Linked DNA regions of Saccharomyces cerevisiae S288C. Changing the gene in region 1 together with any one later gene gives a genetic interaction. Each region holds a gene or a part of one and is shown in the gene's direction. Other genes may lie near its edges.

What was found. Genes that interact genetically often act in the same process or in processes that back each other up.
Region 2: mutations in ERD1 (region 1) and AIM44 together harm fitness less than expected from each alone (positive genetic interaction), as found in Saccharomyces cerevisiae (3 studies listed by BioGRID).

Annotation. Positions count from the first base shown.
Region 1 is NC_001136.10:1,293,280-1,301,258, reverse strand, and holds ERD1 (Erd1p), read left to right. Parts: upstream 1-4,572; coding exon 4,573-5,661; downstream 5,662-7,979. Other genes in the region: mRNA splicing protein SYF1, read right to left, coding at 248-2,827; YDR415C (putative aminopeptidase), read left to right, coding at 3,098-4,222; rRNA-processing protein RRP17, read right to left, coding at 5,859-6,566; DFM1 (Dfm1p), read left to right, coding at 6,865-7,890. UniProt on the Saccharomyces cerevisiae protein: Required for the retention of luminal endoplasmic reticulum proteins, affects glycoprotein processing in the Golgi apparatus.
Region 2 is NC_001148.4:250,122-256,163, reverse strand, and holds AIM44 (Aim44p), read left to right. Parts: upstream 1-1,853; coding exon 1,854-4,130; downstream 4,131-6,042. Other genes in the region: pheromone-regulated protein PRM4, read left to right, coding at 1-251; TGS1 (RNA methyltransferase), read right to left, coding at 403-1,350; PET20 (Pet20p), read left to right, coding at 4,496-5,257; leucine--tRNA ligase CDC60, read right to left, coding at 5,902-6,042.

The DNA of each region.
Region 1 (7,979 bases):
GCATTGCTATCTAAGAGGATAATCTGGGTTATGCTTTATGGTCTATGAAGTACCTGTTTTATGATATTGTTTATTTCACTTCCTTAAACAAAATATCTGTATGTTATGAAAGCAAAATACACAACCCAAACATCCACAGTGCACGGATGTTTGAAGGAAAATTGCTACTTAATCAGTAATTGCAGAAGGCCGCACCAAAAAAGAACTTATGGTTTCGAAAATGATGCATGATTTTACATAGCTTATATCAAATATCTAGTTCTATTTCATCTGGATTAATCGAATATGAAGAGGTTGATTGGGTAAGAGTATGCGAGTTGGGAGCATGCGAGGTTGCTGCCGCCACGAAGTTAATGTTACCTTCCTCATGGCTAACGCTAGCTGAATCAATGAGCATGTTGGATTCCAACACCTTCTTCATCTTCAACATGTCTTTGTAAGTTTCCTTATCCCCATGTTTTAACTCAAAAATTTCAAAGCTATCCCATAATTCAGTATTTCTGGATGGAGGAAGAAGCTTTGCACCATAGGCAAGGATTTCACGTGCTCGAATAGTTTCTCCTATAGAGCTCTCGAAATCTGAAAATTTAATCACAAACTCAACAGCTTTAGAGTTTGGTAAAATTTGAATGCATTCTTGGTACAACTCTCTGGTTACTGATGGTCCCAAAGTAGACTCGGCCTTGGAAATACACATTCTCCACAGTTGCAGTCTACTTTCGAGGTGCGTGCTCACACTAACAGTACCTATTACAGCACCTCTACGTAATATCTCAATACTCTTGCTAATCAGACCACTTATCCTTTCTTCAAATACGCTATAAGCGATAAAAATTGTTTTACAGTCTATACCATTTGAACATAGATTCTTAAGTGCTTTCTCAAACAAAAATCTAATATGTTCAGGACTCAGTGATGACAATTGATGTGATGTCGCTACTTCTAGATACTCAATCCATAATTCGTATTGGATTTCGGGGGGAAACAGAGGGATTGTTTTCTCATACACCTGAAAACTTTCCATGACTTCGTAATGATTTTGTAAGAACAATGCAAAATTTTCTGCCATTGCTGGAGTGATCAATCTCAAATCAATAACAGTATTGTATGCCATTTTTGTCTTATTGAATATTTTATCGGAGGAATTTGCATCCTTTGGGCAGTAAGCCTCTAGATAATCAATGTATTTGGACCAAATACGTAATGAGTTGAATAGAACAGTTTGAGCAGGTATTTTTCTGTGTCCATTCTTATATTTTTCGAGGAGAATTTCTGGATTTGTTGGCACATGTAATGCATCTTCAAGGATAGAAAAAGCTCTTTCCACCCCTTCTTTATCTAATTCTCTATCAGCCCAGTTTAGGTAAATTTCTTCCAGATCTTCTATATAAGGATACGGTACCTTCAGAGATTGTGTCCACAATTCTCTAGCTGTACTAATTGCGTTTGATCTCCAATACAAATCCCCATACGAACACCAAAGCCTACCGAAAGAGCCAGGCGTACCAACTTTTCGGGGATCAATTTTCAGTATAGCTTCTGAATACACATTACACTTTTCCGCTGCTGACTTCTGCAAGGACACTCTTTTCATCCACGTTTCCACCAAGTTGGAATCTTGCCTTAGTGCGACATCGTTCAAATAGATATCATATAAGTTGATTAAAGATTCAAATGTCGCCATATGAGCTTGTAACTTTTCAGTCCAATCTTTTTGATTAAAGAATTTGCTGTCATTTTCCTTTAGCTTTCCCAGAATAAATTGGGAGCACTCTTGCTCAAATAGCAAATAGAAATTATAGATGCGATCAAAATCACTGTACCTAAGTGTTTGCTGTAAACTTTTCTTCAATAAATCACCACAACTGTCAAGCCTCCCGCGAGAGATATAATATTTGGCAAGTGATAGGATCAAAAAAAGCCATTTGTCGGGATATATGCCATTCATTTGCCTCATGAACTCCTCATATTGATTATCTAAACCTAGTTTTTCTAGGCTGGCCAAATAATTGAAATTTAATTCAAAAGGCAGTTCTGAACTAGGTAGATACTTCCCACTATTTTCATCTTGTGGCAAATACTTTTCATATACTGATTTGATGGTAATATTGTCTCTAGTTAATGCAAGAGTTGCCAGCGATTCATTTCGTTTTTGCTGAGGAGCCACTTTTAAGTATCTTTCTAAAATATGTGACGACCAAATATCACCTCTACTTCCGTTTTCACTAATTTCCTCGCTAATAAAACCTCCCTTCGTGAAACCCTTCACTAAAAGTACATTTATCAATTCAGCTTCATCAGTACTTTCTTCTTCATCTTCTTGAGTTGAATCCAGTTGCGTTAATGGTAAAACTTTTTCTTCCACAAATTTTATGACAGGATCCCAAACTTTCCGATGCATTTCTCTCTCCATTTTCATTAAAGATGAAGCTAAGGCATGCCTTATCATTGCCAAGTCATATTGTTCAATTGCCAATTCTAAATAAGACAAACATATCCTGTCACAATCTCGTACACAGCTTTTCAGGCACCTTTGAAAAAGCCAGAAAATACGTGAAGTTTCGACTACTTCCTTTGTTGATTCCCAGCGTATATAATCTTCCCATATACTTGTATCTGTTACAAATTGTGAACAAAATCTTTCATATAGCCACCTAATCTGTTTGTCAGTTCTTCCCTCCTCTTTCCAATACTCGATATATCTTTTCCATGTAAGTATGTTCTGCGGTGTCTTTTGTATTTCGTACTCAAAAGCCACATCTTCATCATTTCTTATGTTCTCATCGACGTTTGTTATTACTCCTTTCATTGCGATGTATGCTGACATAGGATATATGGACACAATAAGTTTTGCGGTACTGAAGGATAGTTGAGTCCAATATGGAGGCCTGATTATTTCCTTTTTTTCTATCTATTTCCTTTTGTATTATTTTGACTGAAAAGCTTGCCAGCGTCTTTACTAAAATCTTTCATATGTTCGGACCGCTATAGTAAACTGAAACTTGATATTCAATAATTATCAATCTTCGAAGCTAAAGAAATACAAAATCTTTATTCGAAAAAGTAAGTAACATAATCAACCGCTGATTAGCACAATATGAGGATACAGTCGCTTTTTGTTTTATTTAATGTTGCCATCATCGCATGGTCATATCCATATGAGCCTTTAAGGGTTTTACAAGTAGGAGAGAATGAGGTAATGGAGGTTCCCGAATCAGAAAAGCTAAACTTACGAAGAAGAGGTGTCAAATTCTTTGATGTGACCAAACACACTTCTTTCTTACCTTTCTTTAACAAGGAGGAAGAGCCAACAGTACCAACGTATAACTATCCTCCTGAGATATCGAACAAAGAAGTAGTGGATGATTCGATTAAGAATATAGACAAGGGCTCTATGCACAAGAACTTGGCAAAGTTTACAAGTTTTTACACCCGTTACTACAAGTCCGATCACGGCTTTGAATCTGCCGAGTGGTTAGCTGCAACTATCGCTAATATTACAAAAGATATTCCGCAAGATACGTTGACTATTGAACATTTTGATCACAAAGAATGGAAGCAATATTCAATTATAGTCCGTGTCACGGGATCTACTACGCCAGAAGATATTATAATAATTGGTTCTCATCAAGATTCTATCAATCTGCTACTGCCATCCATAATGGCAGCTCCAGGTGCGGACGACAATGGGTCAGGCACGGTGACTAATATGGAGGCTCTCAGATTATATACGGAAAATTTTTTGAAGAGAGGATTTAGACCTAACAACACTGTGGAATTTCACTTTTATTCCGCCGAAGAGGGGGGATTGTTGGGTTCTCTTGATGTTTTTACAGCTTATGCCAAACAGAAAAAGCATGTGAGAGCGATGCTTCAGCAAGACATGACGGGATATGTTTCTGATCCAGAAGATGAACATGTGGGGATTGTCACCGACTACACTACTCCCGCATTAACTGATTTTATAAAACTAATTATCAACTCTTATCTATCCATTCCTTACAGGGATACACAATGTGGCTATGCTTGTAGCGATCATGGGAGTGCCACCAGAAACGGATTTCCAGGCTCCTTCGTGATTGAAAGTGAGTTCAAAAAGACTAACAAGTATATTCACAGCACCATGGATACTTTGGACAGATTAAGTCTCGCTCATATGGCGGAACACACAAAAATTGTATTAGGGGTAATCATTGAACTCGGGTCATGGTCCGCTTGGTAAAAGTCAGTAATATGCATACATAACTAATGATGCCTTACCTTGGTGTTCTTTTGTAATATACCTAAACCGATATCACGCTAGTATTTATTTCCCGAATTTTTTTGGCGTATTTCGTCATCTGAAAATAACATAATCAATGAAAGAAATAGAGTCAGTTGCAAAAAGTGCAAGCCAGCGCTAACCGCTCCCGATTTAGTCGCAATATTGATGGCAAACAGTACCAAAAACTGGTTACCCATATAAATTGTTTGGCATTGTTATTATTGTTATAAATTATTATTGTTATTATTATAAATTATTATTAGTATTATACAAAGTTTTCAATTCTGCAACAAGTTGGGCCGCAAAATATGGAGAAAAGCGAAAGTAATTCTGAAGGACTTTATCTCCAAAATATATTAAATGTTCCCCCTCCGCAGCGATTTATTGTGCTCATAATACTTGCCCTTTGGATCTGGACATGGATATTAAAATTCTTCTTGCATAGTAATTTAGACGTATCCCAAGTCATACTCACGAGAGTACCGCACGATATACGTCCAGGTTATACTCTACAGCAATTGCATAGAACAGCTAGAAATTTTGCTTTGAAGATAACAAGGATTATTATACCGTTCCACTTTGCCACTGTGTTCCTTTTTGAGTTCATGAATATTATAGAAGGTCCACTCAAAAATATCATTCTCATCGTATATTTTCTACCATTGATCCAATGTGTCACTATATTTTGGTTTCTGTTGAAAGAGTGCCAGATAATAAAATATTGTACTAGGAGATGTTTGTTGATAGAATCCTCCCCCCGTTCCTTAAGGAATACCTACATTTTAATCTCTGACACGTTGACATCGTTTGCAAAACCATTGATAGACTTCACATTGTTTACCTCTCTAATTTTTAGAGAACCCTTCACACATTTTGATCTATCCGTAGCCCTTCTTCCTGTACTGGTAAGACTACTGCAGTGTTTGAGAGAATACCGTTTACTGCACGAAGCAACTTTACTATTCAATGCATTGAAATACAGTTGTAATCTTCCCATTCTTTTTTGCACCTGGAGATCAAGAGTGTATGAGGGATCCATCAACGAAGAAAGACTACACCACGTTCAAAGATGGTTTATGCTAATTAATTCTTCCTATACGTTATTTTGGGATGTAAGGATGGATTGGTCATTGGACTCGTTAACCTCTTTAAGATCCAGATCCAAAAGTGCCGTCACATTAAAGAAAAAAATGTATCATTCGGCGATTCTCGTTGACTTTTTGCTGAGGTTCTGGTGGCTATGGGTATATTTATCGCAGAATCTGAAATTAGTTGCCGCAGATAGCGACTACATTTTTTTCCAAGGCGAAATGCAGTATTTCGAAGTAATTAGAAGAGGCATATGGGTCGTTTTCAAATTGGACGCAGAGTATTATATTAAGTTTGCAAGCAAATAATTTGTTGGGCAAGCCATATAAAATCATGCAAATGCTGTAAATATTTGTTCTATTTTCCCCGTAGAATGGTTTATTCGATATATTACATATAATAAACGAAAAATACATATGCACAGTATATACTTTTCCAAAAAAAAATCAAACACTGTTTGAGCGTCAAGAAACCCCAGGCGGTGCCCGACGATAATGCGACTGCATTATCTCCTACGCTTGTTGTCGTTTGCCTTTCTTTGGTTTATTCTTCGTTCATTTTTGGTCAAATATCTGAACTTTTTTACTCTTGGCTTCTTCTTTTGTTTCTCATCCACGCCCAGAAACTTCGCGTATTTGGTGGCTCTATTTATGCTTTGTTTGAGTACTTTTTCTGCCTTTTCTAATTTGACATTATTTAGCTGGGCTAAATATTCAAAGTTATCATTGGGTTCCAATGTCTCCAATTCAACAGTAGTTGAGTCATCGTATATTTCCGTGATTGCTCCTTTCTTCAAAATAGGCTTTACGCTACTTTCATTATTGTCGTTATCGCCGTCATCTTTATCAGAATCAAACCCGTGCCAGGATTCATCAGATTCTACCTGCAAATCCTCCGTCTTATCATTTTTCGCATCCTCTATCTCAGCTTCCAAGTTTAAACTCTCTTTAAACGTCTTTAACTGTTCTTCCATCACCTCCTTACGTTCCTGCCGAATCTTCTGTCTTTCTTCAATTTTTCTAAGCCTTTCCTGCTCCTTAATAAACTCTTGTGCTTTCTTTTGTCTTTGAAGCTTTCTCTTGTGAAAGCCAGTCAGATAATCCAAACGAGAATCCTTGTCGAACGTCACCTCATCGGTACCGAATTTCTTTGATTGCTTTGTAGCATAGTTTTTGCCTCTTGTAAGGATTTGCCTATTGGTGTGAACAGCCATAGCAAAAATCGAAAACCTTTAATTCACCCCTCTTGATTCGAGCAGCTACCAGGAACTTGAATATTGCAACTCTCTATTTTTTATCTGCTATTATCTGCTGCTTTGCAGAATCGATCCTCATCACATTTGAAAAATTTCAAATGTGAAAAGTCCCTACTTACCCGTTCGCGGCTCATGAAATCGTGTCCTCTTCAATATAAGACAAGAGTATCAAACAAAGGATATAAGGCAAAATACAACAAATTACCAGTGAATTCCGCATTTCCAAGTCAAATCAAAAACTATTTTCGAGGAAATAATGGCAGGCCCAAGGAATGTGCGTACATTACATGGAAATGGAGGCCGTAATAATGATGTGATGGGCCCAAAAGAATTCTGGTTAAATATCCCCCCAATAACAAGAACTTTATTTACTCTAGCGATCGTTATGACGATCGTCGGCCGGTTGAATCTAATCAATCCGTGGTACTTTATTTATGTTTGGAATTTGACGTTCAAGAAGGTTCAGATATGGAGACTTCTTACTTCTTGTGTAATGCTTTCGTCTCGTGCCATGCCTGCGCTAATGGAACTATATAGTATTTATGACAGGTCCTCACAGTTGGAGCGAGGGCATTTTGGTCCCGGTTTGTCCAATAGACGAGGACCGATGGTAACAGTAGACTATGCCTACTACCTGTGCTTTTGTATACTAGCCATCACTACGGCCACTACAATCATTTATGGGTCCTACTACCCTGTTGTGCTCACCTCTGGGTTCATATCATGCATTACATATACTTGGTCGATCGACAATGCCAACGTGCAGATCATGTTTTATGGTTTGATTCCTGTTTGGGGGAAGTACTTCCCCTTAATTCAATTGTTTATCTCTTTCGTTTTTAATGAGGGTGATTTCGTAATCTCATTGATCGGTTTTACTACAGGGTACCTTTATACATGCTTAGATACCCATACACTGGGGCCAATATGGGGGATGATATCCAGAAAAGCTGATCCAACCTACGGAATCTCGCCCAATGGGAAATTCTCAACGCCATGGTGGTTTACTAGTCTATATGCTCGCATAACGGGTGCCCACAATGAAACTGCAACATTCAACAACAACTTTGCCAATGTGCCATCTTCGCAAAGAGAAACGAGAACTTTTAGTGGAAGAGGTCAACGATTGGGTACGGCCCCTGCAACATTGTCTCAAACCAGTGGCACAGATTCAGGCAGAGCTTCTGGAAGTCAATTAAGAAGTGGCCCATCGAATTTGAACCAATTTCAAGGCCGCGGCCAACGAGTAGGACAAACAAACAGCCCCTCCGACTCACAATAACAACTTTTATCTATTTCTATGTACTTTGCCATTCATTATATACATCAAGAGAGTCTGACATAGTATTTTCGTTGGCATAGCAACCGATT
Region 2 (6,042 bases), on another chromosome or scaffold:
TGGAAAAACACTCTCATGGCTATGAATTAGAAAAGTATATCAAACAAAATAAACTAAATATCGATACTAGTGCTGCCTTGGAATCCATTCAGTCGCCTTATTTATTTTTGAATGGTATTTCCGTGATAAATCGTGGAATGGTGAGAGATATAATCGAACCTCATTCGAAGGGATTGCTACTACCTCTTCTAAAGTCTGAAGCGCGTGGCAACTTGCTGGTAGAAAAAAAAGACATCCCTTCTAATTCTTAATTTGTTATCACTCCTATCGACGAGCAGCCGCAGCTAAAAGAACGTTTTAATTATTCCCAAATTCACGTAAGCGATCCTCTTTATGTGCTATATATACATTCATAACATAGTCATTGCATTTTCTATCATACGATTCAACTTGAACAAGTGTTTAACCATTTACGTCGTAAATGTCTACAGTATTATCTTTGGTCGTTGTTGTGGATTCATGCTTTTTTCTTTTCGAGAGCTCTTCGTTTTCAGAACTCAGCTCTTCCTTTTCGGACGACTCCCTTCGACTATTCTCCGTACTTGCTGGTTCGTAGTTAAAAAAGCATTCCCCCCACATGCAAAATATTCCTTTCATATATCCATTCTCCTTTACATATAATACTTTACATTTGGCAAATGGACCTAGTACTTTCCTCGTAGCTCGAGAAAGCTGGTTCAAATCAGAGTTCCTTGGCAAAAACATAATCACATTAGGGCTTAGTTTAAGAAAACTTTTCAACATCTTGGTAATCCCCATAGGCTTTAGATGTTGCTCTAAGTCATACACATCGTTTCTTAAGTATTCTGGACCACCCCACGGGGGTGATCCAAATACACAGTCGTACTTTATTTTGGAAAGTTTCTGCTTAGAGACTAGCTTTTTCCAGGATCCCCGCTTCAGCCATATTCTGTCGTCCACACCGTAGCTTTGGGCGTTTTTCGCAGTACAATATATGTGTTCAATACTGTAGTCCACTCCATAGACGTAAGGAAATTGCATGGCAAATTGTATGGTGTTCCCGCCCCCACCACAGAAAACATCCAGTATTCTTTCGGCATTTGGCATGCATGCCTTAACAAAATTTGCCAGGAAGCAGGCAATTCTTTCGGGCGTCACACTGAACCACAGCTCATCAGTCATATATATCGACGCCGAATCTATCTTTGAAAACAATCTACGCCTATTTTTCCAGTATTTGAAAAGTTTACCATTTTTCAACGGTTTTGATGATTCTATCTTATAGGCATCATTGTTCAATAATTTGATCAGAGTTCTAAAGTTGGAATGATGTTTTCTTTTGCGTGCCGCATGTTTTATTTTCGAAGCATGAATAAATGTCCTTCCCATCACTTCAGTTAAATCAACAAAAATTTTTTCTTCTACTTCTGTCTGTTGCCCCCACAACACGGTATATAATATGGGCAATCAATACAACGAAAAACTTACTCGCTGTTTGCGGAATAACTCACTTCCCCTTCATATAGTTTGGTGCGATGCCTTAGAATTTTTCATACATTGTTTTCATGTGGAAAATATTCAAAAAAAGCGATGGCTGGCGAAGATAAAAAAAAGGCTGCTCCAGCCATTCATTACACAGGCAATTCAATATTTCGGTTAGTAAGATAAAGAAGTCGATATGCCTATCCTTAAACATGTTCAACTGGGATAACCAGATTGCTGGGCTTTCAGCAGGTCATCAATTCTTGTACAAATATGTTGTATATATAGATTTAAGTGCTTGATAATTCGGTTGACAACTTAACGGCTTAACAAGTAAAACAAGAACAATTAACTTAACAATAGTGCTCAAATAAATTTGGCTTATTATCACAACAAATATATCATACGGAATGATCATCAGAGCTCCAATAAGGACAAAAACCAAGTCGTTTAGAGGCGATCAAATGGATTTTAAATTCCCGTCTAACGAAAGTTTACCAAGAGGAACGCTAGAAGAGTACCATTTGAATAATCATCATCTTTTAAATGATGTGTTTGCAGCAGAAAATGGAGTTTCTCGCGATGAAGACGGAAACTCTCAAACATTATCAGACTATACATCCACTTCCAATACAAATACAAATTCCGGTTATTCATCAAATGGATACTATTCATTTGCTAACATTTCTGACAATACTACGTCTTCACCACGTATTGTAATCAATCAAAATGAAACCGCTAGATTAACTTCCTCAGACTCGAACAAAAGTGACTTTTTTGCTTCTCATGACTTCCCAGGAAATGACTCTCTTCATTATAGCAGCTCAAATGTAGTTAAAAACCAGTTACATTCAATGGAAGCTATTCCAGAGGGAAACATAACTGGCTCAATCTCAACGGCATTCCAGACTATCCCAACAGCAGATAATGTTTCCTACGATATCGCGCCGTCATCAGCATCATCGTTATTACCAAGGAAATCGACATCTAAAAGCGCCATTCTGCCGTCGACCCAAGAAGCCAAACCGATGACCAAATTAAATATGGAAAAGGATATAAAAACTATCGAATTAAACAATAGCGTAGTACCGAAACCTAAAAAAAAGCTAAACAGAGTTCCGACCATAAGACGAGTTGAATCCTCGAGGTTTTCCAATTCCAGGTATAGTTCAAGTGTCAGCAGTAAATCAAGTAGCAGTCGTTGTTCTCTAAAACGATCAAAAGCTATTAGATGTAAGGGCGGACTCTTATATTATTTCACCTCATTGGGAATCAAGATAAAGAAAAAGTTACGGAAATTACGGCTAGTTTTAAGAAGAAGACTGTTTTCATATAATGTTCAAAAGGTCCCCTCCGCCACGAATTCCAAAACCACTAAATCTAAAGCAAACATTAACAACAAGTCAAAAAAAAGAGGGACGAACCTAGTCAACAAAAACAGCAACTCTACTCCGCGTCAAAAAAAATCGCAGAGATACGTCTCTAATTTACAACGGTCGATCTCATCAAAATCTTTAGTACCTGTATTGGCTCCACAAAAAAAGACTAAACCTTTGACAGTTGATACGAAATTTAAAGCAAACCATCCCCAATCTGAAGATTCCAAAGTTGGATCAAACACCCCAAGGAGCCCTTTGGTAAGCTATACTCCATCATTGAGAAGAACAAATTCCTCTATTAGAAGGGCTGCATCCATCCTAACCGCATCTGCCACTATGACACCGGCAAATAATAAAAACTCCTTCATTTCTGTACCGGATAATGTTAGTCATGCCGTCACTCGCAACAGCAGCATGTACTCGAGGTCAAGATTGGTAAGGTCAAAACCATCGACGGCCCTAAATGCAATTGCAAGACAGCCATCAATTGTGGTAGAAAATAAAGTTATTCCGTTATCCATGAATCGATATTCTATTAAAGAGGAAGACGAATATGTAATTGATACTAGTTCTATGAGAGAATTATCTCCCGTTAATAGCGTTTGCTCATCTGATTATGACAGAGAATCATCTGAAAGCTACTCTAATTATGCGGATGCAATGGAGACAACGGAAGTAGATAATAAGGACAGAGTTGAATGCAACAATGAAATTCAAAATGTGGATGCAAATAATGAGGAAACTTCAAATGAAGAGAGTTACAATTTGATGAAACATTATTTAAGCACCGTAATTGCTCAAAGAATTATGCTCAGGGTACAAATTGCTCGTATACAAAATTATAAGAGCAATGTTGTTTATATGAATAAATCAGCAGAAACAAACTCAACTATCTACGAAGATCTTGTCGATTCTCTATTAACTGAATATGAGGCTGATGGTAGCTCCTCCCAAATATTTGATGGCGTTACAGTAAGGGCCGACGAGGAAGAAGAAGAAGATGAAGATGATGAAGATGATGAAGAAGAAGAAGAAGAAAATGATGATGAAGAAGATGAAGAAGATGAAGAAGATGATGAAGATGATGAAGAAGAAGAAGAAAAAAGAAAAGAAGGAGAAGGAAGAAATTTGGCAAAAGAGGTAGACGAATTAGCGGAATTAAGTCCGATGAGAAAACAAAGCGATTTGAGTATTACGTTAAGATCTCCATTTGCTATGCTAAATCCTGCCTACTCAAACAGCATTATATCGCTACCAACAGGTGTGGTCAAGAGGTCATTGACTCTTCCTGTCGGTATGAAAATTTAAAAATATATAATAACATAAGTTTGCATTCATTAATATTAATATAAATCAACGTATCAACCATAAGAACCATAATCATAATAATTGTTTACCTTAATGGCGATATCGCCTTTTATCACCATCGACGATAACAAACGCCTATTCTGTCTACCGTTTCTTTTTTTCGCTCGCAATATCAGAATCGTTTATCCCAAAGGGTAGTTATAGCAACTATTTAAATAACTTAGATGTTTCTTTAACTTATTCCGTCATACGTACACAAACACCCGCTAGATATAGCACTCCTTGCTGTCGAACATTATAAAGGTGCTTTTAAAACTACTAATCGTATATTCAGCAGGTCAGAACGCAAAGTCGGACGATAAACTATGTTGAAGCTAGCTCGTCCATTTATTCCGCCTTTATCAAGGAACAATGCCATTTCTTCAGGAATAGTTCTCACTTCTAGAAGATTTCAGTCTTCCTTTACGTTCTTAAGTAACCAGTCTTTACTATCTAAAAATCAAATGAAATCCAAAAGAAAAAAGGGCAGTAAAAAGGCAGCGTACCATCGTCAACCCCCGGAACACGAACATACTGCACCACTTATAAAGCAAAACAAGACAATCACAAAGAAAGAACATAGCGATGTGAGAGGTTCTCATTTAAAAAAGAAAAGAAGCGATTTTTCGTGGCTACCAAGAGTACCATCCACCTCACATTTAAAGCAGAGTGACATGACCACAAATGTACTCTATTCTGGATATAGACCCTTATTCATCAATCCCAATGACCCGAAGCTAAAGGAAGACACCGGAAGTACGTTATACGAATTTGCGATGAAGCTTGAAGATTTAAATGAACCTCTATCACCATGGATTTCCTCTGCCACTGGACTTGAATTCTTTTCAGAGTGGGAGAATATACCTAGTGAACTACTGAAAAATTTGAAGCCTTTTCATCCACCTAAGGAAAAATCAATGAACACAAATGAGCTTATTCATGTAAGTGCTAAGAGAAATACATTAGTTGACAATAAAACAAGTGAGACGCTTCAGCGGAAAATGGATGAATTTTCAAAGAGAAGAGGAAAGGGGAGAAAAAAGTCAGTAGTGACGTTGCTCCAAATGAAGAAAAAACTTGAGGGATGATTATTGAAACGTTTCATTCTGATTTCTGTTTTCCTAGCAGGGAGATCTTCTTAGCATCAATGTGCTTTTTGTACGTGGTTACTTGGGTTTTATTTATTTTTAGTTTCTTCCGGTTCTGTTCACTTTATTAGGCCTTTTCATCTTTTAACATCATAGACCTGTTTATTATACATACGCAACGGTTTTTTTCTTACATCCTTAGAGTATATTACATTCATAAACTTTATCATTCATTTAGAACACCTTTTTTACATGTATATTTTTATATATTTATTTATTATTCTTTTACTTATTGACCTGCTCCTCTCATCCATCTATCTAATATAGTTTTCTCACGACTACTTTTCTCTAGACTAGTCAAATAGCCCTCAAACCCAGATATTTGCAGCTAAAATAACACGAATAAGTAAAGAATCAATATACATATCCTCCACAAGAAAATGTGGAAACATTTTACAAGAAAATGAACGAATACAAAACAAAAACAGTTGTGCAATTACAATAATTATACGATATATACGAGGCAAATTATCAATGCGACGTGATTTCTGGTTGCTGTTTATTGATCTTTATAAGTATTTCTATGAGAATTTCTTGTATCTTTTATCGGAAAATCACCATGAGGCATCTTGAAATATTCTCCTTTAAATATTTTGGAAGACAACACCTGGGTTACCTGGAACAGCATTTTCAACAATCTTTGTTACAGGTGGAATTTCAACTTCTTCACCAGTAAAGATATCCTTACCGGTTTTGGCGCCATATGGGAAAGAAATTGCGCTAAA